Linked DNA regions of Macaca mulatta. The protein of the gene in region 3 interacts with the protein of the main gene of each other region in a biochemical or structural test. Links are inferred from orthologs where the notes say so. Each region holds a gene or a part of one and is shown on either strand. Other genes may lie near its edges. The genes, in order: DLST, EGLN3, SIAH2 and SNCA.

Region 1 (7,320 bases), on a different chromosome or scaffold from region 3:
GCAGAAGATGAAGTGGTTTGTGAGATTGAAACTGACAAGGTAGGCTTATCTTATATTACCAGTTTTTCATGGGCTTCCCTTAGTTAACCTAATGAAACAGGGACTTAACCGTTGTTTAGAGATAATTTTTAACTAGCTCTAACCTCAGTTGTAAAATTATTGGATTTGTTCAATTTAAAAAAAAACTTTTTACATTTAACTTCCTTTTTTTTTTTTTTTTTTTTTTGAGACGGAGTCGTGCTCTGTCGCCCAGGCTGGAGTGCAGTGGCCGGATCTCAGCTCACTGCAAGCTCTGCCTCCCGAGTCTATGCCATTCTCCTGCCTCAGCCTCCTGAGTAGCTGGGACTACAGGCGCCCGCCACCTTGCCCGGCTAGTTTTTTTTTGTATTTTTTTGGTAGAGACGGGGTTTCACCGTGTTAGCCAGGCTGGTCTCGATCTCCTGACCTCGTGATCCGCCCGTCTCGGCCTCCCAAAGTGCTGGGATTACAGGCTTGAGCCACCGCGCCCGGCCAACTTCCTTTTTTTTTTTTTTTTCTGAGACGGAGTCTTGCTCTGTTGCCCAGACTGGAGTGCAGTGGCCTGATTTCAGCTCACTGCAACCTCCACCTCCCGGGTTCAAGCGATTCTCCTGCCTCAGCCTCCCTAGTAGCTGGGATTATAGGCGCATGCCACCACACCTGGCTAATTTTTGTACTTCTTATAGAGACAGGGTTTCGCCAGGCTGGTCTCAAACTCCTGACCTCAGGTGATCTGCCTGCCTCTGCCTCCCAAAGTGTTGGGATTACAGGCGTGAGCCACCGCACCTGACCTGCATTTAACTTTAAATTGTTTGCTGTGTGTGTACTATGTACTTCATTTAGTAGCTTTAGTCTTGTAGTGTGTGGTGATGGGGTGAGGAGGGTAAGTAAGCTGTTTCCAGTTTTTCCTGTATCACTTGGAAACCTATTAACTGAATATTGCCTGAATGTTTCTGAGAAAGGACAGAAAGGGTGAATCTTCACAATAGCGTTGACTTGTCATCACCTTTGCTCTGAAATTGTGGCCTTAGGTGTTTGTGTGCAGGGCCTTATATATTGTGTTACCACTCTTGTGACTCATTGGAGGTTTTTGTTGTTGTTGTTGTTTTGAGACGGCGTTTCGCTCTGTCACCCAGGCTGGAGTATAATGGTGCGATACTGGCTTCACCTGCCAGGTTCAAACGATTTTCCTGCCTCAGCCTCCCAAGTAGCTGGGATTACATTTTTGTAGTTTTTAGTAGAGATAGGGTTTCACCATGTTGGCCAGGCTGGTCTTGAACTCCTGACCTCAAGTGATCCACCTGCCTTGGCCTCCCAGTGTACTGGGACTACAGGCATGAACCACCGTGCCCGGCTTCGTTGGATATTCTATACAGCTAATTTTCTAATGCTGGATAAACATTTGGACTTCCTCCATCTGTCTTCCTCTTCCAGACATCTGTGCAGGTTCCATCACCAGCAAATGGCGTGATTGAAGCTCTTTTGGTACCTGATGGGGGAAAAGTCGAAGGAGGCACTCCGCTTTTCACACTCAGGAAAACTGGTGGTAAAGAAGTTCTCCTGGTGCTCAAGGTCTCCAGTGTTCCCTCTTGGGATTGGGACTGAGCATAATGTGCTAATTCCCTGATATGTCAAAGACTCTGTCATTCCAGCTGCCCTTAGTTGAGGGAATAAGGGGTAAATTTATATATAGTGTGAACTTTAAATGTCAAATTCTAGAAGAAAAGTTTATTTTTAAAAAAATAAACCTCATACTCTGTTCTTTCCATGGGTGTTTCTTAGCAGGAGCTGAGAAACTGAACCTTTTCTTATAGATACACAGATTGAGCATACCTAATCTGAAAACTCAAAATCTGAAATGCTCCAAAACTGAAAATCCAAAATCTGAAATGCTCCAAAACTGAAAATCCAAAATCTGAAATGCTCCACAACTGAAAATCCAAAATCTAAAATGCTCCACAACTGAAAATCCAAAATCTAAAATGCTCCACAACTGAAAATCCAAAATCTGAAATGCTTCAGAACTTTCTGAGCACTGACGTAATGCTCAAAGGAAATGCTCGTTGTCTATTATGGGGAATTCAGTGTTGTTTCTTATCACATCTATTCTCTCATATCTCTAGGAAGGGTTGGTATTTCTTTTGGGAAGAAATGAGAAACAATTTGTACTAGACCTGATAGGATTAGAGATTAATAACTGTTTATCTGACTCTTAGTGAAATTTTATAACCACTAAAATGTCTATTTCTTTTTCCTAAGCGAGAATCATACTCGTAGACCAACGAGTCACAAATGTCTATTTCTTTTTCATTGTTACACTAATAATGCAGATCGACCACATGATTGAGGTTAATCAGGCAAGACCAGAAGCTCAGAGTAGAAAACATGTATGGTAGAAGGCTAGGAAATAAGGGTAGTCCTCCTGTTGCAGAAGTTTGTCTTAGCACTAACCCTGGATGTAATATCCAGATGGGTGAAAAATAGAAACAAACATTTCATTTAAAGTTGTGAGATTATTACTTGGCCACCTCAGTGATTTATGAGTCATCCTGGATGAAGCGCTTTTTTAAGCCTAAGTCAGCCCTCGATGAATTTTTTTTTTTTAATTTTTTTTTTTTTTTTTTTTTGAGATGGAGTCTTGCTCTGTTGCCCAGGCAGGAGTGCAGTGGCCTGATCTTGACTCACTGCAACATCTGCCTCCAGAGTTCAAGTGATCCTCTTGCCTCAGCCTGTTGAGTAGCTGGGACTACAGGTGCGTGCCACCATGCACAGCTAATTTTTGTATTAGTAGGGACGGGGTTTCACCATGTTGGCCAGGATGGTTTTGATCTGTTGACCTCGTGATCCGCCTGCCTTGGCCTCCCAAAGTGCTGGGATTACAGACGTGAGCAACTGCACCCAGCCTATTTTTTAGTAGTATTCTTGCATATATAATGTTAGAATAGAGGATGGAGAGTATCAGTAATTAGAAATACGTTTATGTATGCATTTCAATATTTTAAATTGCCTAGACTTTTTTTTTTCTCTTGGAAGTTTACATTTTCTTGGGCTTGGTAGGTGCTTTGAAAGTACTTGCTGAATTTATTCAGTAGAAACCTGTGAAATCGAGGAGGGAGCTAAATTGAGCCAGTTATCTGATGGACATTCAGGGACCCTGAGGAATAGAGAATAGTGCCTTATGTCATTGTGTGTGTGTCTCATAGTGCCTTGCATATTGCCAATACCCAGTAGACATTTGTTACTTGATTGGAGCTAGAGTTTTTGCCACTAAATTTGGCTTAGTAGCTGTGATTTGGTTGCTTTCCATTTCAGATAGTGCCAGTGGCATCTACTTTTCTTGTTTTTCAGCTGCTCCTGCTAAGGCCAAACCGGCCGAAGCTCCTGCTGCTGCAGCCCCAAAGGCAGAACCTACAGCAGTGCCAGTTCCTCCCCCTGCAGCACCCATACCCACTCAGATGCCACCAGTGCCCTCACCCTCACAACCTTCTTCTAGCAAACCTGGTAGGCTTCCAACTCCCACGTGTCATGTGGGGGAACATCTCGTCTAATATGTTGCCTCAGGGTAAACTCTAAGACTAATCATGGTTCTGAACAGGCCAGGTTGACTGCCTTGTAGAAAGAATTCTCGACTTTGTATCTGAAGTTCTGTTTTGCATCTCAGCTTTCTGTTACTAGCTGTGTGTCTTTAGGCTAGTCACTTAATTTATCTGAACGGATTATTCATCTGTGAAGTTGGAGTGATACTAATACACCTCAGAATATCTTGAAGGTTAAGTAACAGGACATATGAAAGCACTGGCACAAACTCAGTAGATGTTTCTTTCTTTGTCTGATGCCACTTTATCCTCTCTTCATTTTCAGTGTCTGCAGTGAAACCCACTGCTGCCCCACCACTAGCTGAGCCAGGAGCTGGCAAAGGTCTGCGTTCAGAACATCGGGTAAGCCTCTGCGGACCACTTCCAGGAAAGAGGCAGGGGGCAGTGTTGAGATTAGTGGAGTATGGGTGTGGTGGTGCCTACCTTTGAATGGCTGGCAGCTCATTCCCTCAACCTTGACAAAGGGAGTTTAGAATATAACTTCTTCATAGTCACATCACCATCAAATGATAGAACTAGAACCCGAGGTCTTCTGAACACTTGTTCAGTGGCTTTCCTGCTATATTATGCTCAGTGAAAGCCTTGGGTAAGTTAAATATTTGTAGGGGATGGTAGCTTAGTAACTCACCCCCTTCCTCCCACGATGTCACACACTTCAGAGAGGTGGTTTAGTGAGCTCTATTCCTATACTTCCGGGATACTTAGCTGTAGCTAAGGGATAATACTCAGTAGCAATAGCTGTCAGGTGCAGACATAAAACCTCAAGGAAGTATGGTCAAGAGTGTGGTTCTTCTGCCTGAGAATACTTCCTAAAAATATGATAGCCTCAAAAGTTTGTTGCTTATGAGGTTCCGTTCCACAAATAGCTATTGTCATGCAAGTCTTTAGCAATAGAAAGTGCCCTTTTTCTTATGATTCTTATGTTGGCTAGACTACACTACACTACATTCTTTCATAAATTGGTTTTGGTTTTTAAATCACCGTTTCTGAGCCTTCATTCTTGGTCAAGCTTCAGGCACATCTGAGTGAGTAGTTTTGGCCTGTGTTTGCATGTTTTTGCTTGGAGGAGAAAGGGCCACTACAGGAAAGGGAAGCCTGGAGCTCTTGTTTTACTTAGGTACTATAGCCCTTGGCCATCCACTCGTGGCAGGCCATGTTCTTTCTGACTACACGGGGAATGCTTGACCCAGAGAGATCAGATTATCAATGCTTGTTCCACTCTCGCTTTCAGGAGAAAATGAACAGGATGCGGCAGCGCATTGCTCAGCGTCTGAAGGAGGCCCAGAATACATGTGCAATGCTGACAACTTTTAATGAGATTGACATGAGGTAGTGTTTCTAGCCCCTGTTATCCCCTAGGCCCTTTTTTCTTAGAGAACACTCGAACTTGCCCCTGTCCTTATCTCCTTATCTAGTGCTGATTCTAAAACTTAACTTGTCAGGGAAGAGGTATTTCTTTGCTTTGTTTATTGTTTTTTTTGTTGTTGTTTTGTTTTTTGAGACGGAGTCTCACTGTCTCCCAGGCTAGAGTGCAGTGGGGCGATCTCGTCTCACTGCAAGCTCCACCTCCCAGGTTCACGCCATTGTCTGGGTTCACGCCATTGTCCTGCCTCAGCCTCCTGAGTAGCTGGGACTACAGGCGCCTGCCACCACGCTCGGCTAATTTTTTGTATTTTTTTAGTAGAGATGGGGTTTCACCATGTTAGCCAGGATGGTCTCGATCTCCTAACCTCGTGATCCATCCGCCTCAGCCTCCCAAAGTGCTGGGATTACTGTCGTGAGCCACTGCGCCCGGCCTGTTTATTGTTAACTTTCACAGAGCGACCCACTGGCTTCTTCTCTAATTGGCTTTCCTGATACTATGCCTGCCTTCTCCATGACCTTAACCTTAGCCTTGGCTAGGTGTAGTGGTTCACACCTATAATCCTGGCACTTTGGGAGGCCGAGGCAGGCAGATTGCTTGAGTCCAGGAGTTCAAGACCAGCTGGGTAACAAGGTGAAACCCCACCTCGACAAAAAATACAAAAATTAGCCAAGTGTGGTGGTGCACACCTGTAGCCCCAGCTACTTGGGGGGCTGAGATGGGAGGATCGTTTGAGCCCAGGAGGTTGAGGGTACAGTGAGCTGAGATCATGTCACTGCACCCCAGCCTGGGTGACAGACTGAGACACCCTGTCTCAAGAAAAACCCAACAACTTAGCATTTTAGACTTTTAAACCTGAATCTTGCGATTTCTGATAAATGAGAGTAGTCATAGTTGTACACTCTGACTAGTGTCAGGTTGCCAAACAGAGATGGGACAACCAGGCCAACGTGGTTTATGCAAAGGTCTCCCACTCGGGATGGAGAAGCCGTGACAGCATGCCGAGAGCCTGGGCACCACATCCTACTTCTTTTACACAGGGGTTGCTCCTTACATGTTTTCCTAAGTGATTCAGAATCGGGTAGATGAAAAGGCAAAGATAGGCTAGGCTTGTCTTTCATTTTACCCAGCTTTGATAGTAAAATGGAAAACAAGTTGTGTTTTTAACTAACCTTAGAATGTTAACCAAAGGTACTAATTCACTGGGTATGCCCATTTCTGTAGTGAGCTAATTGTTGACTCACCTGTTTTCTTCAAGATTTTGATGTGTTCAGGTATCAGCACTGTCAGGAAGAGAAATTTGACAAACATGTTTTGAGTGTGTACTGTGTACAGAGTACTGTACTGTGGAATTCAGTGGGGTTATAGACTGGGCGCCATGGCTCGTGCCTGTAATCCCAGAGCTTTGGGAGGACAAGGAAGGAGGATCGCTTGAGCTTAGGAGTTGGAAACCACCCTGGGCAACATAGCGAGACTGTCTCTACATAAAATTTAAAAATTAGCCAAGTGAGGGCTGGGTGCAGTGGCTCGCACTTGTAATCCCAACACTTTGGGAGGCTGAGGTGGTTGGATCACATGAGGCCAGGCCAGGAGTTCGAGACCAGCCTGGCCAACATGGTGAAACTCTGCCTCTAGTAAAAATACAGAAATTACCCAGGCATGGTGGCGCGTGCCTATAATCCCAGCTAATGGGAAGGCTGAGGCACGAGAATTGCTTGAACCCAGGAGGAGGTTGCAGTGGCAGAGATTGTGCCACTGCACTCCAGCCTGGGCAACAGAATGAGACTCTATCTCAAAAAAAATAAAATAAAATCAGGTACGGTGGTGTGGACCTATAGTCTCAGCTACTTGGGAGGCTCAAGTGATCCTCCTGCCTCAGCCTCCCAAATGACTGGGACCACTGGGAACACAGGCATGTGCCACCAGGCTTGGCCAATTTTTTTAGTTTTTGTAGAGACAAGGTCTTGCTGTGTTGCCCAGGCTGGTCTCCTGAACTTCTAGGGTCAGGCCATCCTCCTGCCTTGGTCTCCCACTGGAATTATAGGCATGAACCACCAGGCCTGGCCAGAAAAGAATTTTTAAACAGGTCTTCAAGAATGGCTAGCATTTTGTCAGCCTTGTGGAGAAAGGTCATTCCAGACGATGTTAACAGTGTAGACCATGAGATGGGAAAGTAGAAGACACATTTGAGAAATTGTCAAAAATCATTTCTGTTGTGAGGATTATGTATAGCAAAGAATGGTAAAGAAGGTTGGATCCTTACTTGAGAATGTTTTGAATGCCAGGGTAGGAGTTTATATTTAAGTCAGGAAGCAAATCAAGTCTCAGGTCATCTCTTTGTTT
Region 2 (8,026 bases), on a different chromosome or scaffold from region 3:
AGCACAGTACTCCATTTTCTCTTCAGATGTACTCAACTGACCCACTTCAATGTTTGAGGGTTTTCTTAAGCCTGAGAATTAGTCAAGTGTGAATGAGATGATCCTACAATTCGAAGTATACGGAAGTATAAATTCGTTCATCATTGCACCATCACCCTGCACAGTACCCCACACAGGGTGAACACTCCATAAACATTTGCTGAATAAATGAAAAGTCAGAAGTAGGAGAGAATAAAAGGAAAGAACACAGCCTCTGGATTTAGACAAATCTAGGTTAGGATCCCAAATTTCCCCTCTGGAGACTTAAAACACTGATGAAGGCTCAGAATGCTGCTAAAAATTTCATATACATCATCTTATTGAATGCTTCTTCCCCCAGCAGCTTTAAGGCATTATTTCCCCTCATTTTACACCTGGTGTAAACCAAGCAACTTGCCTAAAGCCACAAGGTTAGTAACACTGAGCCTAAGCTGGTAGCCCCCACTTAAACTGTTTCTTACCACTGACTTTGAAACTTTGGGCAACGTATTTAATCACTCAATGTGTTTAAGACTGTGTTTCTGAAGATTAAGCAAGATAGCATCTGTAAAGTGCTTAGCACAGTGCCAGACAATACAAACTGCTCAATAAAAGGTAGTTCTTATTATTAGTGTCACTAACTAGTGAGTCTACAGTGAACTGTTTGAAGCAGAAGGACTTTTGGTTCTAAAAATTATACATTCTCTGGAAAACAGCCATTTTTCAAGATCTAGGCAGCCAAAGAAAAAGGAGCAAAATATGACCAATATTTATCTTGGATATGGTCTAAAATCTCCAAAAGGGAGTAGCAGATAAATCCATTGCTAGCCTGAAAGCAATGATCATGCGTGAAGTTAGGGGGCGCCATACTGCTGTACATTACAGCAACCACTTCCCAAGGGGTCTTCAACACCCTTGGAATTTTCTCCAGCAAAGACGAGGTACATAAATTCTGACCATTAACCACTTTCTTGGCAGGAAGCGGAACCATCTAATATTTCTTTCTATATTCTTCCACAATTTCAATTTTAGGTCCAGTGCGTCTTTCTGTTTTACTCCCAATGCCTTTGCTATTGCTTCATTGAGATAAAGGACAATATTATATTATCCAATGACCTTTCAAAGTCCAGCAAAGAACCAAAAAAAAAAAAAAACCCAAATTTAGGTAAGTGTATGAATAAGCAAAACCTCAAGAAATTTTAAGTAGCTAAAAAACAATTGTTCTAAAATAAATGTACATATTGGCAATTGTTGAAATTGGGTGATGGGGGCTTATTAGCCTCTTATATTTATGTGTGTTTGAAAATAACCTTAATTAAAAGTTAAAAATAAAGTTAAGGACCAAGCACAGTGCCTCACACCTGTAATCCCAGAACTTTGGGAGGCTGAGGCGGGCAGATCATGAGGTCAAGAGATCGAGACCAGCCTGACCAACATGGTGAAACCCCATCTCTACTAAAAATACAAAAACTAGCTGGGTGTGGTGGCCTTCCTGTAGTCGCAGCTATGCGGGAGGCTGAGGCAGGAGAATCGCTTGAACCCAGGAGGCGGAGGTTGCGGTGAGCCGAGATCACACCACTGCACAACATCCTTGGGACAGAGCAAGACTCTGTCTCAAAAAATAATAATAATAAATAAATTTAAAACTTTAGTTTTTCTTGAAAACATGTGTGAAGGATGCACCAGTAAACTGGGTCTCTGTCACTGCTCTGGAAAGCAGCACAAAATAAGGAGCTCAGTTGAGGGATAAAAAGTGAGTGAAGAAAAAGAAGGAATAAATTAAGGTGAAACCAAAATAAATCATGTAGAAACGGAAAGTGTTTCTATGATGACTTTAATAATGAACTTCAAACAAGAAACCCAAGACCACAAGACATCACTAAGGAGACTTCTGTATACAAGCAAAGCACACTTAAAAAACATTTAGCTACACTAATTGTTTGCTCAAGCCTGGTTTGCATTTGGTTCTAAAGTGGCCAGGGAATATTCCAATCGAAAGGTGATTTATCTAAAGGGCAGGGAGTTTTGTGACAAACCAGCCAAAGTAAACCTAGAAATCTGGGGGTGGGACAGGATAAATTTTCTTTTCAACTCATGATCACCTTCTGACAGGGTCACCTGAAAAGTTTTTCATTCCACCCAAAAGATAACCTAAAATTGATGAATCATATCTACAAGATCTTTCCCTTACCCTTACACAGTGTTTTTCATTCCACTTGAGTTAAATTCTAGTCTGAACTCCTATCCCTATCCATTAAGTCAAAGCTAAATAAAAATATTTAACTTTCAATGTCAGTGGCCTCTTTCTATACCAATTAATTCTGACGTCCCTCAGAGCAAATTCAGCTCCTAGAATGGTGAAGAAAAATTCCTAACACCTGAGTTTACAAGAGACATTCAAAAACCCGATAAGAAGCCCTCTGCTCTTCAGGTAAAACTACCAGCACCTCAGCAACACTGAAGCTGACCCTTCCCCTCCCCCCCAACCCCCACCACAGAAGACAGCAAGGTCATTTAATGCAAAAACCAAACTAGTCAAAGACAAATGACTAGTCCACCACCAACACAATGGAAGAAGAGTGAAGAAACACTTTAACATCAATCTTCTACAGAGTTCCGCTAACATAATTTTTTTCCCCAAAGTAAAATTTAGAAAGCAGGATCTTCTAAGATTTACTTTACTTGGGTGCGCTAATAACGATGCTTTCAGATACTCTATTCATGGCCTCTTGGCTTGGAAGTTGTACAACAAACTATGACTCCCCACTGCACTCATCCATCTCCACCCCTTCACTCCCACACGTTTCCAATTCTCATCACTTAGCCTTTATTCAGAGTGTTCCTCTCCGTGTACTAGAGAAAGGAGAGAACAATGGTCTGTTTTGAGACAGGATCAGTCTTGAGACTGATTTGAGAAATACTTTATTTATTGTCAAAGAGTGGTACATAGGTGTCAGAGAGTGGTACCTCTCATGCCATGGTATACTCTGCTTCGCTGTTTCAGTAAAAGTTTTCCATAGTTCTGAATGTCCCTTGACCACACCGTAAGACAAGCGCAAGTCACTCAGAATTGCCACTGGAGAACTGGCTCAACTATCATTTGAGGAAAGACTGAGAAAGCCTATCCCAAAGTAATGTACATGCACCAACATCGCGGTACCTACATGTTCCTGTTTTCCTGCCAATCTACCTGTGTTTCCAAGATAAATTACCACCCAGGGAGTCACTTCCTGCTATGTGAACAAAAACACTGTTTCTTTCCGGAGGTGCTTGACTACTCTCTCGTGAGCACTTAACTGGTTGTTTTGAGTGGACTTTGTTGTCAATTGATAGTTAGGAAAAGGAAGGTGGTGGTGTAGGGCTAAGCACCAGGAGAGAATTTTCGGTCAAGAAGATGGTCTAACAATGTGCTGGGTCCCAGAGGGCAGAAGCAGCATTCTGGAGTAGAGTTTTACCCTTTCACACCTGCCCAACTCCACAAACCAACTGCCACATGGCAAAATCACAACTGCCTCCAGAATTCTGAGTGCTTTTGTAGAAATCTCTTCTGACCACAATGAAGGGCAGTATTAGGTGGCCTTAAAGTAGGTATTTAAGATTATAAGGACACGTGTGTCTCAGATGATACACAGTGTTTCTAATACCCTTTCCCTCCTTTGGATCTTTGAGAACCTCTTGTCTTAAAAGCGGACCAAAGCCACAGCTTGTCTGGCTTTTGTCACCCACAAGAGCCAATATTTCAAAGTCAACAGAAGGTCATCATCATGATTCACCTGAGCCCCTTAGCGTGGACTTTCGCTCAGAGGAGCTGGGGCGAGGGGTGGGGTGAAGCAGCAAGTAGAGACAAACCAGGCTGACTTCTTGGTTAAAAAACAAAGTTCGCTTGCAGCCCTGGGAAGGCGACAGACAACGGACTCCGAGTGCCTCCCGTCCCCGCGGGGGCAGCTGCGGCAGGGCGCCGAGCGCGTCCTACCTTAGACCTCTCCTTGACGTAGTAGTTGCCCAGCCGGCTCCCGCAGTAAAGGACCAGCCTGTCGATGAGGGACAAGAGGAAGCTGATGGCCTCGCAGCCCTCCTCGTTGCCCCCGATCCACGTGATCTGGTCTCCCCGCAGGTGTCGCTTGGAGACGCCGGCGCGCGGCCCCGCCAGCTGGCCGTCCCGCAGGGCCCCGGTGCAGTGCAGCTGCTTGACGCGCTCCAGGACGCAGTCGCCCACCACCTCGCCCAGGAAGTTGTCCAGGTAGCAGAAGCCCACCTCGTGCAGACAGGGCACGATGTACTCCAGGGCAATTTTCTCCAGGTCCAGCCTCATGATGTGTCCCAGGGGCATCTCGCCCGCAGAATCGAGGTCCGGGATCCCCAGCGTGCAACCAGACAGGGAACGATCTACACGAGCGCGAAGCCGAGGCACGGGGAGAGTGGCCCAGGGTTCAGAAACCTGCGGCTGCCACGGTCCCCGAGCCGCTGCAGCCCCGGGGACAAGGGAAAGTTGCTCGCAACTCTCAGAAGAAGGGATCCGCGTTCGGGAACCAGCGGGAGTGGTGCGGGGCTCCACGACCTGTTTCCGGACTGGCCCGGCGAGCAGCGCGGCGCCAGGAGTCGGAGGGCGCCTTTTGGAGATAGGAAGCCACCACTGCCGCGACTGCGGCCAGACGCCGGGAGACGCTGAGGTCCGGCCCTTAAGCCGGCCGAGTCCGCGCGTCACGGGCCCCGCCCCGGGACCGCCTCCCAGACCGCCCCTTCCCCCGCCCCTCGGCCCGTCACCCCCGCCTGCTCTGCCCCTCCACGAAGGATCCCAAAGAGACCGGCGCCAACCTTAGTTGTTTGTGACCAGGGGAGCGGCTGGAGAACAGACTGAATTTTTAGAATGCGCTGGATTTGCATATTGTTTTGCATAAAATCACATAATAAACTTGAAAACCTGGATCCCACACTGAAAATGTAAATGGAATTAACTGCCACATTCTGGGCTGGTCATCTCATAGACTTTTGAGCAAAATAATAACCCCAAAAACAAATATATTTATTAAGCAGTGGTCTTGTTCTACCTTTACCTGGTGTCTTTCCTTATTTACCCCATTCCTCTGCTGTTTGACCCAGTTCAAGCCACTGAGAGATTAGGAGGTATCTAGTTTTAACTACAATTAATGCACTAACAAATATTTCCCTCAGCCCCTACTGTGTGCAAGGCACTATGTGCTTGAGGAGCTGGGGATGAGCACAATGAAGAAATGCTGAGTCATATCTGATTGAACTCTGCAAATGGTGTATTTTGCTTTGCTTGATGTTTTCCTCTACTTATCTTTCAAGCTTCCTATTAAAATATGATGTTCCGAAATTCTACCTTCAAAATTAATCACATGCTTCTGTAACAGAAGTATGTCCCCCAAAAGGTACACTGTATTCTAGGTCTCTTACTTTTCCCACAAGCAGCTGTACTTTCACAAGAGGGACAGACACCACTGAAAAGACTTTGGTTATCTACAGATAAGTCAATTTGCTTTATGGAGTTTTGATTCCCTTTCCTACTGAACACCAGCGATCAGAATCAGGAAAAAAAAGAAAAGAAAAATTCATAAATTGCATGCAAAGCTATTTGCACCTTTAAAAAAAAAAAAAAAAGAAAAGAAAAAAAGAAAAAAAAAAGGACCTTTAATTAATTTATTTATTTATTCTGAGACAGAGTTTTGCTCTTGTTGCCCAGGCTGGAGTGCAGTGGTGTGATCTCTGCTCACCACAGCCTCTGCCTCCCAGGTTCAAGCGATTCTCCTGCCTCAGCCTCCCAAGTAGCTGGGATTACAGGCATGCACCACCAGGCCCGGCTAATTTTGTATTTTTAGTAGAGATGAGGTTTCTCCATATTGGTCAGGGTGGTCTGGAACTCCTGACTTCAGGTGATCCGCCCACTCGGCCTCCCAAAGTGCTGGGATTACAGGCGTGAGCCACTGTGCCCGGCCTATTTGCACCTTTTTTACTTCATATTAGTGTACACTCAGGTTCTTTATTTAAGTTGAAGAAAAGAATGTACAGGCTTTTCAGATATTGTTTATTGTGGAAACAAATTTCTACAGCTTTTTCACTTTTCTTCTTCCTCCAGCAGCCCTCTCCTCTCTGCCTCTGAGGGGAGAAAGGGAATGACATCCAGGACAAGAACAAAGAGTAGAAGAGGAAAGGTACTGCTACAAGTTGGAAAGAAGGAGACAGAGGCACGTGGTTGAGTAATAACCTGGGGGATGTTGAGGGGGAGCAGTCAATGGTGGAGTGCTTGAGAAACTTTGATGAAACGTCTAGTTATATTGAGAGAGGTTCTCTGCCAAGTCAGTGATTAGTTGGCACCTTTGGTATTACCTTTGAGCAGGAGGTACCCCTCCTTGGGGTAAAGGCTTGAATAGGCCATCACTGCTCAAAGAGCTCTTGTCTAAATTCCCAAGGCAGCTCCATGATGAGAGGAGACCATCATCCTTGGAACCCCAGTGTTTAGCACATAGTGGATGGCTAATAAATAGTTACTGGGAACTCAATGTCTAACCCTGAGCCATAGCAGCCTCCACTTGGGATTCAGTATGTCTGGGCTTATCTGGAAGGATCTATTTGCAAAAGGGGCTGGGAGCCTCCCCAAAGAGAAGTCACTGGAAAAGAGTCAGGCAAATTAGCCTGACCCAGCACAAAACAGAGGCCAGTGGAGGGAGCAGTTAGGAGTTCTACAGGGCATTTGTCTCTCGGCTTTGTCTGTCTGAGCAGTGGACATTTGAGTGGTGGGAGCCAGAGACGTCAAGTGAAAGCTGGAGGACTGTTAAATTGCAGCAAGAGGCCAGGCGCAGTGGCTCACGCCTGTAATCCCAGCACTTTGGGAGGCCAAGGCGGGCAGATCGCCTGAGGTCAGGAGTCTGAGACCAGCCTAGCCAACATGGTGAAACCCCGCCTCTACTAAAAATACAAAAATTAGCCACGAGTGGTGGTAGGCATCTGTACTCCCAGCTACTCAGGAGGCTGAGGCAGGAGAATCACTTGAACGCGGGAGGTGGAGCTTGCAGTGAGCTGAGATTATGGCACTGCACTCCAGCCTGGGCAACAAAAGTGAAATTGGCCTCAAAAAAAAAAAAAAATTGCAGCAAGGAGTGAAATGGAGTGCAGTACCAAAAAGGAGGCAAGCCCTCCTCTCCACTTCTGCTTGAACCCTGCACAGAAGGAACAGATTTGCCTCCTGCAGTGATCTCCTCCAGGGGCACTCTGGATAACAGGGTGACCAGGAGAAACCTGGTCTAAGGCAGCCTGAATGTAGACCCTGGTTGGCATTGGGTTGTGCGTTTTGCAGCTTTGGGGACTGTGTAAATCTCAGAAGTAGATATCCCTGAAGAGGGACAGAATCAAAAAGGGGGAAGGTGACAGATAATCCTTAGTAACTGGCTGAAATGTTTCTAGCTGAAGGTTTTTTGTAGATACACCTTATATTCCTAGGAATGAGAAGGAGGGAATTTACAAAGGAATGGAAGCCGACAATCACTGGTAGAGGGGTGGTGGTCAATAAAATACAGAAAATTATACACCCACCTTCCAGAATGAACATGTTGACCCAAGACTTCAAAGTAAAATTGTAACTAGTTATAACTAGAGCAATAGTCTAAGCGAGTTCTAGTGACAACCGTTCTAGATTACATTGGTTGTAAAGCATGGGCAGTTTAGAGAGGAATTCAGTCCCTTGGCACCATCCCTGCTTGGCAAGGGCACTCATTAATCAATCAAGGACCTCCCGATCAGCTCAGGGCTGCCAGCACTGCATTTGGCAGAGGAATCAGAGATACTGTGACTGGCAAAAATCATAGTGTGTGATTGCATGGAGGAACACAGACAGGCTGGAGCCAGGCACAGGCTCTGGATCTGAGCATCAGAGAGGGAAAACCCAAGCTAATTGTTAAAGTGCATTTGCTTTAGTTATTTGTCCACTAATTTGTGTCATAATAATGAATATTAAAATACCTTTCCATAATAACTAAAACAAATTAATTTC
Region 3 (7,825 bases):
AAATACTAGGTTTGTAGGTTTCCCCTACCCCCCATCTTCCTACCCTACATGGCCTACAAAATTCCTGCCAATGAATTTCATAGTGAGTATGTATGTTGTCATTTTGGGATGGTCCCATAAGAGGCCCATCTGGTGAACTCATCCAACCAGATGGTTTTGTTACTGGTGTCAACCTTGAGTTATGATTCAGAATCTTGAGTATATACTCAGATTCGAAATCCCTAAGCAGTAAGGTGTAGGACAAAACATCTGTGCCTTTGAGATGCAGGTGCTTGGACTGGTCCTCTTACTAGCTGTGTGATTTGACAAGTCACTTCACATTTAACCACTCTGTAGGCATGAGTTTCCTCATCTGGAAAAAAAAAAAAGGCAAACTAGTAAAAGCTGACCCCTGTGAAGTAGCTGGCAGATAGAGAGCATCCAATAACATTCCAGATAGCTTCCCTTCTTTTCATGGAATGCTAGAAGCTACAGGTCCTCAGAAGTCCAGCGGACTCATCTCTCATATATATAGATGAGGAAATCAAGGCCCTGGGAGGTGGTCTTTCAGGCAAACAATGACAATGCCAGGCACCTCTTGAGATGTGGACTCTGTTACTTTATTCAATGTTGGTTTTTTTCACATGAGCCAGCCCATGAGAGATTCTGAGAGCAGGTGGGCACAGTGAAAAGGCAGTGCCATAATTTCTAGGAGCCTCCAACTGTAGGCCGAAGGGCTAGGTAAACAGACCTACCTTGTTTTAAGTTTGATACAGGCCTTACGACTACTCCCTGTTGTTTCTCATCCTCTACAGCACATCTTGGTTGGTCGCTGGGCCTATGTATACATTCAAGTTTGGTTCGTCCAGACTAACTGGCTGAGCTGCCCTGCCAAAAGTTTGGATTATTGATCAACCAAAGGTGAGGCATGCACACTCCGGCTTTATGTAACTCACACACATGCACACACAAAAGCATCCCCAAGATCACATTCTAAGCTTGGTTCCTGGTCTTTAGGGGAATAGTTGGCCCTTTTAAATTTCAGCTTGCAAAGTAATGGCTTTGCCCAACTGCATTCTTATGGAATAGAGACTCAGAAAATCACTGACATGTACAGAAAGGCTGAGAACCCCCGATTCCCAGAACTACTCTTCAAGGTTGATTTCACTAGCCTGTTTCACGTTAGGAAAGAACATATGCTTTCATAGGAACCAGAGTTCTAGATCCTGAAAGTGAAACTTCATGCTCCATATAGCATAACTGTTTCCTTCCCTTTCTCTTGGGAACAACACAATTCTAAGGTTACATTTTAAAAACAAATTATGGATTACTGACTAATATCAAATGCTCATTTGTGAACTAAAACTCACCTAAAAGCCATTTCTTTTGTTAGCCACTGCGGGTTTAAGGGAAAGTAAAGGGGTGAGAAAATGGCTCCCCAGAAATCCTGTGGGGCATCCCCCACCCCTGCAATATATCTCAAACATCAAATAGCCACTCTATGTTAACTACCACCAAACCTTTGTCTCCTTTTTCACAACCCTAAGACAACTATGCAAATACTTCATCTAAATTTTGAGAAACTGGGCTGAGTGAATTAGTAAGCATTATATGAGGAGGGGTTAAAAGCAATTTATTAAGGTTGCCTGAAACACCCTAGTCCAAACACTGATTCAAACTCTTATTTAAATATGCTATTTTAAACCTCATTTGCAGCAGGGCAGCAGACCAAATTAAAGCACTCATTTTACTGACCTGAGTCCCACGCCTGAATTCTCTGGTGGATTATTTTTAATTTAAAAATGAGCTCTTGTCCTATAAAATAAGCAGCACCAAGGAGAAATACAAGAAAGCCTAAAGGGCCCAAGAGGCAGAGCAAGTTACTTTTACAAAAAAACTGGAAAGTATTAATGACAATATTTCTACTTCTAATTTCAGAAAATGAACTTTACAGTATAGTTCTAGGTCATAATGAAGTAATGTAGACAAGTATGTCTGTGAAACTGCTCCTGAAGGTAAACAAATGTTACAATATGACCACACAATGCAATACTATACAGTCATTTAAAATACAGTGAAGTCGACTAGGTTTCAGGCATAGAGAAATATGTATGATAATATGAATTTAAAAACAGCAAGCTGCAGATGCCATTTTTGGAGAAAAACTTACATCTATGTGTGGGTATTAAAAAACCTCCCTGACATACACTGACATCTATGATTCTATATTTAGCTGCGAGGGTGTATGTATATATAGTTTAAAAAGATACACACTAAACCTAACAATGGTGGGAAAGGAGGGGAGAGGTCTTGGTCTTTCATTTTACTTATTGTCTTGGCTTGCATTTTTCGCAAGGGCATTGAAAACTTTTTACATTAAATAAAAAATGAACTGATGAGCTTTAAACAACTGTAACAACAGCTCTTGAGTGCCCTTGTTAATTTCTTGATTGACTGTTTTCACCCCACATAGTACAAAAACGCAGCCACAACTCCTCAGTCCTTCCCAGTCCTTGGAAGGCTAGGAGAGAAAAAGGCGTGGCTTGCAGGGTTTTCTTCTAGCTAGAAGAAAACAGGCTGTAGGCGCCCTTTTTTTAGCTACACTCCCGAGAGCTCCCACGTGTCAGGGGTGCGCAGACTGTAGGCGCGGGGTGCAGGACTCCAGTATCAATTCAGCCAAGCCGAGCGCTGGACAAGGGTGCGTTTAGCTCGCCCGTTTCTTCCCTCCTCAGTCCCCACATAGTCAGTTTCTCGGTCCAAGTTTTACTGGTGCGGCCCAGCCCTATCGAGCGTACCCGAATACATGTCTGCAGAGGACGCGGGCATTGGGCCGGGTGAGCTACGATGTTCTGACGACCAGCGAATGCCAATTAATCTGTTAACTGTCAATTAACTGTCAATTAACTCGGTAAATGTCAACCCAGAACTACTCCCAAAGTGGGTTTGAGGGAGGGTAGACGAAATGTAAACATTTTTTCTTTTTTTTTTTTTTTTAAATGAGAGATGCCGCCCGCCTTTCCGGGCCTGCCAGTGGGCTGGAGGATACCGGAGTCCCTGAGGTCACCGGCGGAGATACGCGGGCTGTCCCTGACCTTACCTTACAGGGAAACAGGACTGCCGAGGCCACCTTCTCCATAGCCAGGTTCCTGATGCTGGGCGTCAGGGCGCCCCTGCACGTCGGGCAGCAGCTCAACTTCTGGCGGCATTGGTTACACACCAGGTGCCCGGCCTGGCACTGCAGGATAGGAGGCAGGACATAGTCAAAGCAGACCGGACACTCGAAGAGCGAGGTCAGCTCGTGGTGCTGCGGGGACACCGGGCCGGCCCCGCCGCCGCCGCCGGGGCCCGAGATCACCGCCGCCGCGGCGGGCACCGCGGACGAGCCGGGGCCCGCAGCCGAGATGGTGGCGGCGGCCGGGGGCGCAGCCGGGGACGGAGTGTGCTGGGGCTGCGGCGGCGGCTGCTTGCTGCAGGGTTTATTAGCGCTGGGGCCGGTGGAGGACGGGCGGCTCATCGCGCTCCGAACCAACCATGGAACTGCGGGCGCCTGCCTGCCGCGGGGCCGCCCGGGTCAAGGCGGTGCGCGCCCCGCGGGCAGCGAGCTCCGAGGCAACGCCACGGCGCCCAGCCCAGGTCTGGGCGGCAGAGACTCTCGGCCTCCGGCAGGCGGAGGGCTGGACCGCGCTGATGCACTCCCCAGCCCCCGGCGTTCCGAGCACGCCTCCGCGTCGGACCCCGCGCGATGCCCTCCTCCCAGCGGCGTCCGGGCCCCGAACCCAGCGGTGCGCAAGGAGCCCCGGCCCACCCGCTTCTGGAGCGGCCGCTGACGCAAGCCCCGGGGGCGCGCGCGGACGTGACGCCTGGACACGTGTGCGGCCGCCCAGGCGCGCGGGGACTGGCAGAGCCACCCTGCGCCGGGGCGCTGGCTCCGCCCGGCTCCAGCTGGCAGCGCAGGGGGCCGCCTAGCGCCGGCGCTTCCTGCTCGGGCTGCGGGCCGGGCCTGCGCCAGTGAGCATGCCTGGCTCGCCGCAGCCCCGCGGGGTTGTCTTTTCCGGGTTGGCGAGGGAGGCCACTCTCGGGGAAGGCGTCGCCGAAGTCCTCTGGCCACACCCCGGGGTGCCTGGCCGACGCGTCCCTCAGCTCAAACGAGAAGGGCAACTTCAGGCTGGGCGGGGGCGTGGACGGTGGGTGGGACAGTACGCTGGCGGGCAGGGGCGGGGCGCCGGCGCCCCTGCACTGGTCGGAAAAAACCGAGAGGTTTGTCTTCTCAGGGTTGAGTCACCAGCGTGCAGGCGAGGAGGGCGACGCGGCCAACCGAGTTCTGTGTTCCGAGTCAGGACGGGAAGCATTGGGTGGGAGCAGGGCGAGGGGCCGAGTTGGGTCTGCAGGGGGCACAGGACCTAGTTTTGTACAGTTAACGGTGGGGTTGAGTAAAGAAGGGGGGCGGTGGGGAGGAGGTAAGCCCCCTTTATTCCTTTCCCAGCGGACCAGGAGGAAGCTTCGTTGAATTAAGCGCCCCTGGCTTGTATAGCCGAGGAGGGAGCTCATGGACAGCGTTGGCTAAGAGTTCGAGATCATCTAGGAATGCCAGAAACGTGGGTTGGGTCGTGAGGTCTCTGAAGACAGTAGGTGAGCCTCCAGTGTAGGGCGCTGAGTCCGCTTGGTAAAGAGCCGGCCGAAGTCCGAGTCTTTGTTGCGAGCTGTAGGCCACCCTGCGCGCCCAGCAGAAGCGCTAGAGAGGGCACCGTAGCCCGGAGTGAACCGCATGTCCAAATGTAACTGTGTGCTCCGAGTTAAATTGTTTTTCTGCAAACTTTGCTTAAGCCAACGATTCCAGAATTGGGGAAAGGGTTACCCTAGGTGGAAATCGGTATTTGTAGGAGCCACAGAGGTAAGGACCAACTATTAAGACTGAGTGAAAAATGGTTCCCTCCAACTGTAAAAGTGGAATAAAAACAATACCTATCTTATAGGTGGGGCAGTGAGGAGTAAATGAGTTTAATATGTTTCAAACTTTTGAAACAACCTCGCTCATCATAAGCACTATTTAAACATTAGCTGTTATCTTTTTAAAATATTAGTGGATGTTTAATATGAATGAATACAATTTGTCCAAGAAATACGGCGTTAGAGCCCAGAAGAAATAAAGTTTAATCTTACAAAGGGCTTCTATAGAATGACTGCATGCATGGAATTGATGGAATTTGGTATAAATCTTGAAAAAACGTAATAGTTGTAGATATTCAATCGTTCGGTAAATGTTTCCTGAGCATTTATCACGTATCAGCTACTATTGGAGCTCTGAGAATGGTTCTCATACAGTTTACATTCTAGTAAGAGAGCAAGGCCCAATAATCAAACACTCATGGGAGGGGAAGGATTTCAGATACCACAGGGGTGGGAAGGCATTATAGCAGGAGCTAAAAAGCACAGAGTGAAGGAATGAATTCTGGGATTGCATTGGGACTTGGAGGGGATATAACGGGAGCGTAGGGGTGTGGGGTTAGCACAAGCAGAGCCTCAACTGGCTTAATAAGACATTTACCTCAATGATGGGGTAAACCACTGTAGGGTTTTGTTTGGTTTTTTAAGAACACACAAGTAACAACACTAGCTTTTGTAGGTTTTTGAAAGCTCTTTAGTAACATGGCTGAACCTGAGTTTTTGGATAGGTGGGGAGCATAATATAATTAATGTTTATTGAGTGCCCACCGTATGTTGGGCATGAACAGTTTTAAGTATTTATCATAACTCTATATGATGAATACTACTTTTATCTCCATTTTACAGTTGAAGAAACCGAGACATAGGTTACTTTGCTCAAGATCACATAGCTGAGAATGTGGGAACATGCTCGGAGCCCTTCTTCTTAACTACTAGTCTGTATGCCTCTAAATTATGCCTGACTCCTACTTATAGTCTGGTTAAAGAGTTAAGATTAGCACACTCAACAGAGTCAGAAGACAGTTGTTCAGCCTATAATAAAGCACTGAATTTTGTGGGCAAACTTTACATAAACTCTTTCCTTAGCTGGTCTAGAGAGAAAAATTAAATCATATTCTATTTATTTCATTTTCACCTTTTTATGACACAAAACATAAGTGATGACACAAAAATCACCTACAGTTTTACTGTTATTGGAGAAAATGTAATATTTTTCATTCTTAGTTTAAAATCAAAGCATTTGGAATTTATTACTGGAATGCATTTTCTTTCCTTCCACTTCCAGCCTCTTGGTGTGATGATCCCCATTCCCATGGCTTCTTACTAGCTCTCATTAGGAGACTGGAGTCCTCACGCTTGCCCGGTTGACATGAGCTTTAAGTATTCCAGCTAGATAGGACCTGGTCATTCAGAAAGCAATTTGGTTTGGGAGGTGTTGAAACAAAGAACAGGAAAAGCAATTCTCTGCAGAGAGAATTTGGTTTATTTTTCTAAAAATACAACGAACCTATCCACTCTTACCCTGGCAGATGCCTCCCCTAGTATAGAGAAATTTCTTCTTTTCTTCCTTCTTCACATCATTGCACACCTGATTAAGTCAACCAGGGTAATTAAAAAACAAAACTGAAACCAAAAACTCTGGGCAGTTGCTGAAGGTAGGCAGGGGGAGAGTGGATAGGTCTGCTATGTGAGCCACATAAGTGACCAGGCTGGTCTTCCCAGTCGCCTTTCTTCTTCCTCCTTTCTTGGCGACTTTTGAAACAAAGAAAGGTGACCTTTGCACAGCAGGCACTGTGAGCTAGAGCCTCCTCTTCCAGAGGGCAGTGAGCTCAGAGGTCGCGTTTAGCGTGTACTCAAAATGTATGCTGAATTGAGTTGTTGCGAGGTTTATTTACCCTTGGGAGCGTCGCTGCTGCTTCTGGGCCTGTTTAGTGAGTGACTTTGTGGTCTGGGGGAGCAGGGTCCAGCCTTTTGTTATCTCCTGATTAATGACTCATTTACCACATCTGCTGTATGAGAGGTTGGCCTCATTCGCCCACCTACTGAGTCCCAGATTGCATATGTCAAGCAGGACACCTCTCCTTAACCCATCTGCTCTGTGCTAAGCTTGAAAGACCGGGGGTGTACTGAGTAGCCTTTTCTTTCCTTAAAATAGCAGGGTGAGTCTTAAAAAAAAACACCTCACAGGTGAGTTCCTAATCTCACTAAACTGCTGAGCTCAATGAGAAGTGCTCCAGCTAGGCAGACAAGCTCTTGCCCTTTTTTCTGTAACTTACAAATTGTGTGGTTTTGCAAATCAGGCAACTTCTGCCATCAGGCAAATGGTGTGCATTTACAGAGCAAATTGTGGTTGGCTTTTTGGAGATGACTCAGGTATGCATTGGAGCCTGCTGCATGGAAATTCCTCATCAGGGGAGGCTTATGGGGAATCTGTAGGTGATGTAAGGCCCCCGGGTAATTAAAGTAGGAACTTTCAACTTCATCTGTTTCTGGGGTAATTGCCAAATACTCAAACTTCTTTTGAATAATTGTAGATCTCTTAATTCAAGTCTTTTTTTTTTTTTTTTTTTTTTGAGACAGAGTCTCACTCTGTCGTCTAGGCTTAATGCAGTGGCTGGATCATGGCTGACTGCAGCCTCGACCTCCCAGGCTCAAGGGATCCTCCTGAGTAGCTGGGACAACAGGCACGTGCCATCATGCCCTGCTAGTTTTTTAATTTTTGTAGAGAAGGGGTCTCGCTATGTTGCCAAGGCTGGCCTCAAACTCCTATACTCAAGTACTCCTAATTCAAGCATTTTTTGAACAACCATCATGGACTTAGTACTGTGTACTAACAGTAGTTCTATGTATTCGCATTATTTTTGTATCCACACTTAGCTAATTAGTGCTTACCCTGTTCTAG
Region 4 (7,320 bases), on a different chromosome or scaffold from region 3:
TTTCTGCCAGTGCACTTTTAACCTGTTTTTACTCTGCCAATAAAAAGGTATGAACTTCAAGAAATGAATTATATGACTGATAACTTCTTATGTGTACATGAGTAAAATATAGATCAAAAGATCTATTATTCTAATTCTAATTCTATTCTAATTCTAATTCTAAACACAAGAGTTAATATTGTTCTGTAAAACAAATTCTTATAATTCAAGATAACTCATTTGTCCTTTAACTAGTCTTATACTCAGAAATTATTAATAAGGGCAGCTATATTCATATGATCAAATTCACAAAACAGGTATCTTCTTTGATTTACTCTTGATTTATTGGTTGTTCAGAATTACGTAATTTAATTTCCCCATATTTGTGAAGGGAGAGGAAAATTTCCCCCTCATCAACTAGAGGGTGATGGGCCAAATACCCTCAAAGGGCATGAAAGGTTAAAACCGGTGCCATTACTCCCTTTCAGTGTTCCTGATCTTAAAGTACGGCCATTAATCCACTTCTACAAGCTAGACATCTGGTATCCCTAATTGTCACATCCCTCTTCCTCCAAGTTTCTGGCACAGTGTGAGTAAACATTCTTTCTTGAATGATGAATGAGTGTCTCAATGTGGTCATTAATAAGCATTTCAAGCAAAAAGATTTTGCTTATTTCTAGTTGCCAGGGTCATTTTGATCAGAGTTTAAAAAATGAAATAAATTATTTCAAATATCATAATGAACAAATTAAATACTTTCATTGAAACTATCCAGATTTTTTAGCATCCCATAGATGTGGCCACAATTGCAGACGTTTATTAGAGTACTCTCTGAATTATTTTAGAAACTCAGAACTTTATTGCTAAATTAGACTTCAACAATTTTCTAGTAGAGCTTCCTCATTATATGAGAAAGACTTTTAGGAGATCTGCAAAAGGTTATCCAGTCAGGTGGTGTACGAGCAGAGATGAAGACTAGCCATTTTCACTCTCAGTCCAATGTTTATTTCCACAACTATGCTGCAATTTCTAGGTTTTATGACTTCATTTTCATATTAGAAATCAATAAGATACTCTAGTACCTATAAGGGAAATATCTCCAAATGATTAATTTTGTCACATCATTTAGATTTCTGCTTTAAATATTAAAATAAATAGCAGTATTTTTAGATGGGTGGAAAGCAAACCCAGTTTTGTAAAAGATTAAGCACTTTCATGCTTCATTTGCAATTTATATTGTATGCGTTAAATGCAGGTGAATAAAGAAAGGATGGTACATGTTTCCCTGTTGCTTAATATTCTGAAGCAATAAAATTCTCTAGTTAAATCTAGTTGTCCATAACTGAATGTATAAAGACCCAAAGGAAGGTAAGTTTTGAGGAAATGCTTGGGGAAGTGATATAGTGGCTGGAAAAGTACTATTGGTGTCCAGTCTATTCCAAATGACTGTACAATCTTGGACTACCCACATCCTCTGTTGATTTCAGTTTCCTCATCTGTACAATCAGAAGATTGATCTGAACAGAGGGTCTGTCAGTGGACTTCCCATTAAGCCCTTTGATGTGTGTATGTGAGGACACATTTTTCTGAAGCTAAGAGGGTCCATAGCTTCTATTAGATTGTGAAAAGGGTCTGAGACACAAAACTGGTTAATTGCCTGTGTACTATTTTAATCTGAGGTCCCTCTTAACTTATGAAATCTTACAAAGCTATAAATAGAATTATAATTTTAGGTGGAAACCAGGAATTAATATAATTATTATCCCTAATAAGATTATTTGAAAAGCATATTTTGTACAAAGGGGTATCACCATGACCAACCATGCATTCAAGCATTAGCTGAAGAACTTCACTAGAAGCCCAGTCAGGATTTGCCATAATTACATCCATTGCACCAGACACTAGACATGTAACTTCATGTAGTAAATCTAAATATATCACAGATATTTTTGTTCTGCCTTTTTATTATCAGTGTTTTAATGGGCTATCAAGGTAAGGCTGCTACTTAGGATTACATGAAGTGGAAACAACCCAGAATAGTTTGCCAGCAAATAAAACTTCTTTCTCACAATTTTGGAGAGATTCATCCAAAATCATTTTGATTTTAACTTTTGGATAGCTGAATAGCACTGTTCTTATACTAAGGATATGATTATAAAAGACCCATAAATAAAAGTTGTTCTGCTTACTCACTTATTTCCTTCCTTTCTTCCCTTCTTAATAAACATATGCTAATTGTCTACTCTAAGTTGGAAACTCTCCCAGACACTTGTGAAATATCAGTGAACAAAATAAATATATTTCACTCTCATGGTGCCTACATAATAGAAGGGAGAAATAAAATTTAAAAAATACATTAAAGTAAGCAAATTATTTATTATATTTAAAGGTGAAGAACACTTTGGCAAAGAAAGAAAGAAAAACAAAGGAAGGAAGGAAGGAAGGAAGGAAGGAAGGAAGGAAGGAAGGAAGGAAAGAAGGAAGGAAGGGAAAGAGAAAGAGGAAGGAAGGAAGGAAGGAAGGAAGAAAGAAAGAAAGAAAGAAAGAAAGAAAGAAAGAAAGAAAGAAAGGAAGAAAGAAAGAGAAAGAAAGGAAGGAAGGAAAAGAGAGAGGAAGGAAGGAAGGAAGGAAAAAAGAAAGAAAGAAAAAGGAAGGAAGAAGGAAGGAAGGAAGGAAGGTAGGAAGGAAGGAGAAAGAAAGAGTAGGGAGACTGAGAATACCAGAGGTGAGAAGAATGGCTCCAATTTTATATAGATTAAGGCAGGCCTCCCCAGTAATGTGTCAGGGCAAGGGTATGCTTGATTTATTCAAGAAATAGCAAGGAGACAGGGAAAAAGCAAAAATCATTTTGCTGTTGTAGTGGTGACATTTGTAAAATTTCATCATTGTTGACACCTCATACCGTATTAGTTTCATATTTAAAATGAAAGTTATAGTATCTTTGGTATAATCTTATTTGTGCCCCATGTTTGTCAAAAAAATTCAGTCAAAATTCTTCTCAGAATTTTAAAATCTACCTCAAAACTATGATCTCTGGTTGGTATATATTTTAAACCTCTTAGTTCCCACAAACATGTATTTGGCAATGAACTGTTATGTAATATGCAAATATGCCATTTAATAAGAGATGATGTCACTATAAAGAAATCAAGTAAAAGAATTTTATTTTGGAAATTAAGAAATTAGGCACAAAGAGATTTGTTATTCCAAGGAAGAGAAATTCCAAGACTTATAGTTAACATGAAAGTCTTCATTCTTTTTGAAATGTCACTGTTCCTTTGACATTTTACTACATTTTTTATTTCATTAACTTTCTTCTAGAAATTGAAACAATCATGATAATTATAAAATTTGCATGGCATTTATCTGGGTTAATGCCTGAAACAAGCAAGACCAATATAAAGGTAGCACATTTTCACAAGGGGAGGGTCAGGTAGCTGTTCCTCACAGTAAGTGTCCTGCTCCTGCCTCCAGGCCTCACATGAAAATGAACCATAATCTCACCAGCTTATAAATGTAGCACAAAGTGTACACACCGTACCTTGCCCAACTGGTCCTTTTTGATGAAGCCAGTGGCTGCTGCAATGCTCCCTGCTCCCTCCACTGTCTTCTGGGCTACTGCTGTCACACCCGTCACCACCGCTCCTCCAACATTTGTCACTTGCTCTTTGGTCTTCTCAGCCACTGGTACAAATCAAGAGCAACAACAGATTAAAGGGTGGTGGAATAACAGTGACTTAAAATCATTCCACTTCCACTAGCCATCGACTTCCATACACCTGTATCTACACATGCCATAGACAACTGAGGGGTCAGAAGAAACAAGCAACCAAGGTGTCCAAGTGAGTGTGGCTCAACCAAACATTGAATCTCGGCTAAGATATTTTTGTTAAAGTCATGCAGTATTAAAAAGTGCTTCAAGTTTAATGATCCAGAATGTAAAGCCATGAGTGATTTGGATTTATTTTATACTAAGGAAAGCAATTCTTACAGGTGCAGTTATAGTTGAACCAGACTCAACATGAGTATTTCTTTATTTCAATTCAGTGCCAATCCTTTGAGCTCACTCAGCAAGTTCATTTCCACCACACATTCTAAACAACACAATACATACTTGTATTTATTTATTTATTTATTCATTCATTCATTCATTCATTCATTCATTCATTCATTTGAGATAGAGTTTCACTCTTGTTGCCCAGGCTGGAGTGCAATGGCACAATCTCAGCTCACTGCAATCCCCACCTCCTGAGTTCAAGCTATTCTCCTGCCGCAGTCTCCTGAGTAGCTGGGATTACAGGTGCCCATAACCATGCCTGGCTAATTTTTTTTGTATTTTTAGTAGAAACAGGGTTTCACCATGTTGGCCAGGCTGGTCTCGAACTCCTAACCTCAGGTGGTTCACCTGCCTCGGCCTCCCAAAGTGCTGGGACTACAGGCATGACCCACCGCACCCAGCCCATACTTCTTATCTGTGTGTTCAGACACGGTATTATCACATATGTATGAATGACAGCATAAGAAATGGTTTTGAAGGAACTTGGAACTTTTTATAGAACTTCAGGTAGTGAAACATAGGGTTCTTAAAAGCTAACTTGCAGTAATTTTAATAGGAGCAAAGGAGCTGGACAGTATGAAAATGAAGAGGCTATTGAGCACCCTTAAAATTCGTTTTCACAAAACAAAATGTGATACGGTCATTCAGTAGGTTTATTACAATAAGTTAACATTTTTGAGAAGACAGTGTAAATAGTTTGAATTGAGTTTATAGGCAGAAATTTAATTTCATGTCAAAAATTTTCTTGTTCAGTGAAATAAGCCAGAAACAGAAAGGCAAACACAACATAATCTCACTCATGTGGAATCTAAAGAAAAAAAAAAAGTTGGTATCATAGAAGCAGAGAGGAGAACAGTGGAGGAGAGTGGAGGATGGGGACACTCATCTAAGGAAATGAAGGCACATTTTCTTGATATGATTTATACTCCCCAGATAAGCCTCAGTCTGAGAGGAGTTACACCCTGTCAGCTCTTTCGTGCTAGTCACATGATTATTGTATAGGTTTCATCTCACCAGTTGAAGAAGCCAATAGTTAAATGGTGTGGACAAAGCAATTCATTTTCAAATAGACTATGTAAGTCACAGAAGCTAAGGGGCCTGTAAGGACAAGAGGCTTTCTCCTTAGTTCAGGCAATGTGGGGAAGCCTGACATAGCCACACAGCCCAAGACCAGAAAGGGTCCACAGTATTGTTGCTCCCTACTTGTCTTTTAGGCTAGAATTTTGTACAACTACCTACCAACTCTGTGCCATTTCTAAGGATATGGCTGATGTCTCCTTAAGAGTAAGAGCTATTTACAATTCAAAGTTCGATTTAAATGCCAGTGAAAAGCTGTATTGAAAATTTTATGTTTTAAAACATTTCTGAAATGTTGATCCTTTAAAAATAGTCAATTATGTGTTTCAAGTTGTCATTTTTTTCGTTTTCAAGGACGAGAATTGAAAATTTTGCTTCAAATGAACATTTTCTTGTTATAAAATCTTGAAGCAAGATTAAAAATAGGTTTTGAATTTTTTACAGATCCAGCCATAAATTTTATAATATCTAGATAACCTTTTATAGATGTATAAATTTTAATCTAGTTTTAATGCAATACACTGCACAGTAAAATGTACTCTGCACATTATTATAATTTCACTCTTTTATTATTATAATAATAAATAAAATGGTTACATGACAAAATAACAGAGTATACAGGTAGCAATCATCGACACATTTAAAAACATTTCTGTAGAACTGGTTTCTCTAGTAGGGTCTCTGCTGACCTTGAACCTCTATTTTTCCCCCGAGGGCCTTCCACACTATTTCTCTACTCACTGACATTCCAAACGAACGGTGACAAAACAAAAGGAAAAGAGACATACTCATATTAGTACATTTTGAGTCTAGCAAATGGTATCTGTTTTTCAGCAACTGAGTTTTTTGAAATCAGGGATTCTACTTTATTTTTCTTTATATTATTTTATAGTAGATAAATAATTTAGAATATACTAAAATGAATTTAGTATCTCTCTCTAATATCTGCATTAATATAAGTAATAGGTTTATATTTGACTTTAACTAAGTTAAAAATAAAAATCCAAAAAGGAAATGTGATACGAACTTTTAGAATAGATATAGCAAAATCTAATCTTTGACATTAAACAAAATTATAAAATTAAGAATATCTAGTTTTGAATTGTTATACAAATGATAGATTTAAAGAAAATAAATTTAAAACAATTTACTAAGGAAATTTAGATCATAACATGTTGAAAATTAGTTTTGTTCATTATGATGTAATAAATTTACAAGAATCAAAACCTTCAGAAAATCTCCAGTGTCAGAAATTTCTTTATACTACACTTGCATGAAAAATAAGTAACTTTATATCATAGTTTATTTTTAAAGTACCTTAAAAACATATCATTCAGTAAGTTTAATTAAATACATTTTCATATATGATGCATTAAGTTGATAACTGAAATAATTTCCCGAGATCAAAGAGCTAGGATTTAAGTTGGTGGATTTTTCATTGATATTATCTAACTAGGATAATTTGTTTTCCTTGAACTTTGTAGGTAGAAAGCTCCCAGCCCAAGTTTACTGAAGTCTATATTTCTCCCCCGCCCCCTTGAAAAGAAATCTAATGGGATGAATTTGGGGGAAATTGTTTATTTAATATTAGAAGTTAATATTAGGTACTATGTAATAGTTTCTTGTTTCCCTGCATTAAGACTTGTAACAAGAACAATTAACAATTAGTTAGCACTTAATATGTACCCATAGCAAACATTTTACATCAGGTAAAATATGCAAATTATTCTCTCTTTAACCACTGAAGTAATTGTCTTATTTCTTCTCATAATTAGACTTAAGAACTTTATATTAAATAACCCTATTCAAAAAATTAATTCATTTATCTGATGTGGGAGAGGAATGATTATGATAGCAGCTGATTTATCCCAATGTGTTTCTCATAGCCATACTAGTTATGACAGCATTTTTGGTACTTCACTACTGCCAGGGTGGTTCATGGGTGTAATGGTTGTAAATATTGCCCATGCTGAAATCACCATGTCGTTACTGCTTAGCAACATTTCCCATAGTTTTCTGTAGAACACTAGTTTCATTCAACCCTAATAACTAATGGAGAAAGGTTTCAATAATCAAAAAGTTTGAATAACCTTGATTTTAACTATGTAATGCAAATTTCTTTACTGTAGGACATCTCAGATTCCTTAATATACCAAAGAGAAAATAAAATATGCAGAATCTCCCAACATTGTACAATGTTGGAAACT

What was found.
Region 1: the proteins of SIAH2 (region 3) and DLST form a complex in vitro, tested with the Homo sapiens proteins (2 studies listed by BioGRID, with this or other methods). The link is inferred for Macaca mulatta from reciprocal best matches to the Homo sapiens genes SIAH2 and DLST.
Region 2: the proteins of SIAH2 (region 3) and EGLN3 form a complex in vitro, tested with the Homo sapiens proteins (2 studies listed by BioGRID). The link is inferred for Macaca mulatta from reciprocal best matches to the Homo sapiens genes SIAH2 and EGLN3.
Region 4: of the proteins of SIAH2 (region 3) and SNCA, one has a biochemical effect on the other in vitro, tested with the Homo sapiens proteins (4 studies listed by BioGRID). The link is inferred for Macaca mulatta from reciprocal best matches to the Homo sapiens genes SIAH2 and SNCA.

Annotation. Positions count from the first base shown.
Region 1 is NC_133412.1:148,087,055-148,094,374, forward strand, and holds part of DLST (dihydrolipoyllysine-residue succinyltransferase component of 2-oxoglutarate dehydrogenase complex, mitochondrial), read left to right. Parts: coding exon 1-39; intron 40-1,452; coding exon 1,453-1,564; intron 1,565-3,366; coding exon 3,367-3,519; intron 3,520-3,879; coding exon 3,880-3,956; intron 3,957-4,845; coding exon 4,846-4,943; intron 4,944-7,320. UniProt on the Homo sapiens protein: Dihydrolipoamide succinyltransferase (E2) component of the 2-oxoglutarate dehydrogenase complex. The 2-oxoglutarate dehydrogenase complex catalyzes the overall conversion of 2-oxoglutarate to succinyl-CoA and CO(2).
Region 2 is NC_133412.1:107,059,068-107,067,093, forward strand, and holds the start of EGLN3 (prolyl hydroxylase EGLN3), read right to left. Parts: upstream 4,680-8,026; 5' UTR 4,349-4,679; coding exon 3,992-4,348; intron 1-3,991. UniProt on the Homo sapiens protein: Prolyl hydroxylase that mediates hydroxylation of proline residues in target proteins, such as PKM, TELO2, ATF4 and HIF1A. Target proteins are preferentially recognized via a LXXLAP motif.
Region 3 is NC_133407.1:53,797,291-53,805,115, forward strand, and holds the start of SIAH2 (E3 ubiquitin-protein ligase SIAH2), read right to left. Parts: upstream 4,122-7,825; 5' UTR 3,494-4,121; coding exon 3,077-3,493; intron 1-3,076. UniProt on the Homo sapiens protein: E3 ubiquitin-protein ligase that mediates ubiquitination and subsequent proteasomal degradation of target proteins.
Region 4 is NC_133410.1:99,138,072-99,145,391, forward strand, and holds part of SNCA (alpha-synuclein), read right to left. Parts: intron 3,664-7,320; coding exon 3,521-3,663; intron 1-3,520. UniProt on the Homo sapiens protein: Neuronal protein that plays several roles in synaptic activity such as regulation of synaptic vesicle trafficking and subsequent neurotransmitter release.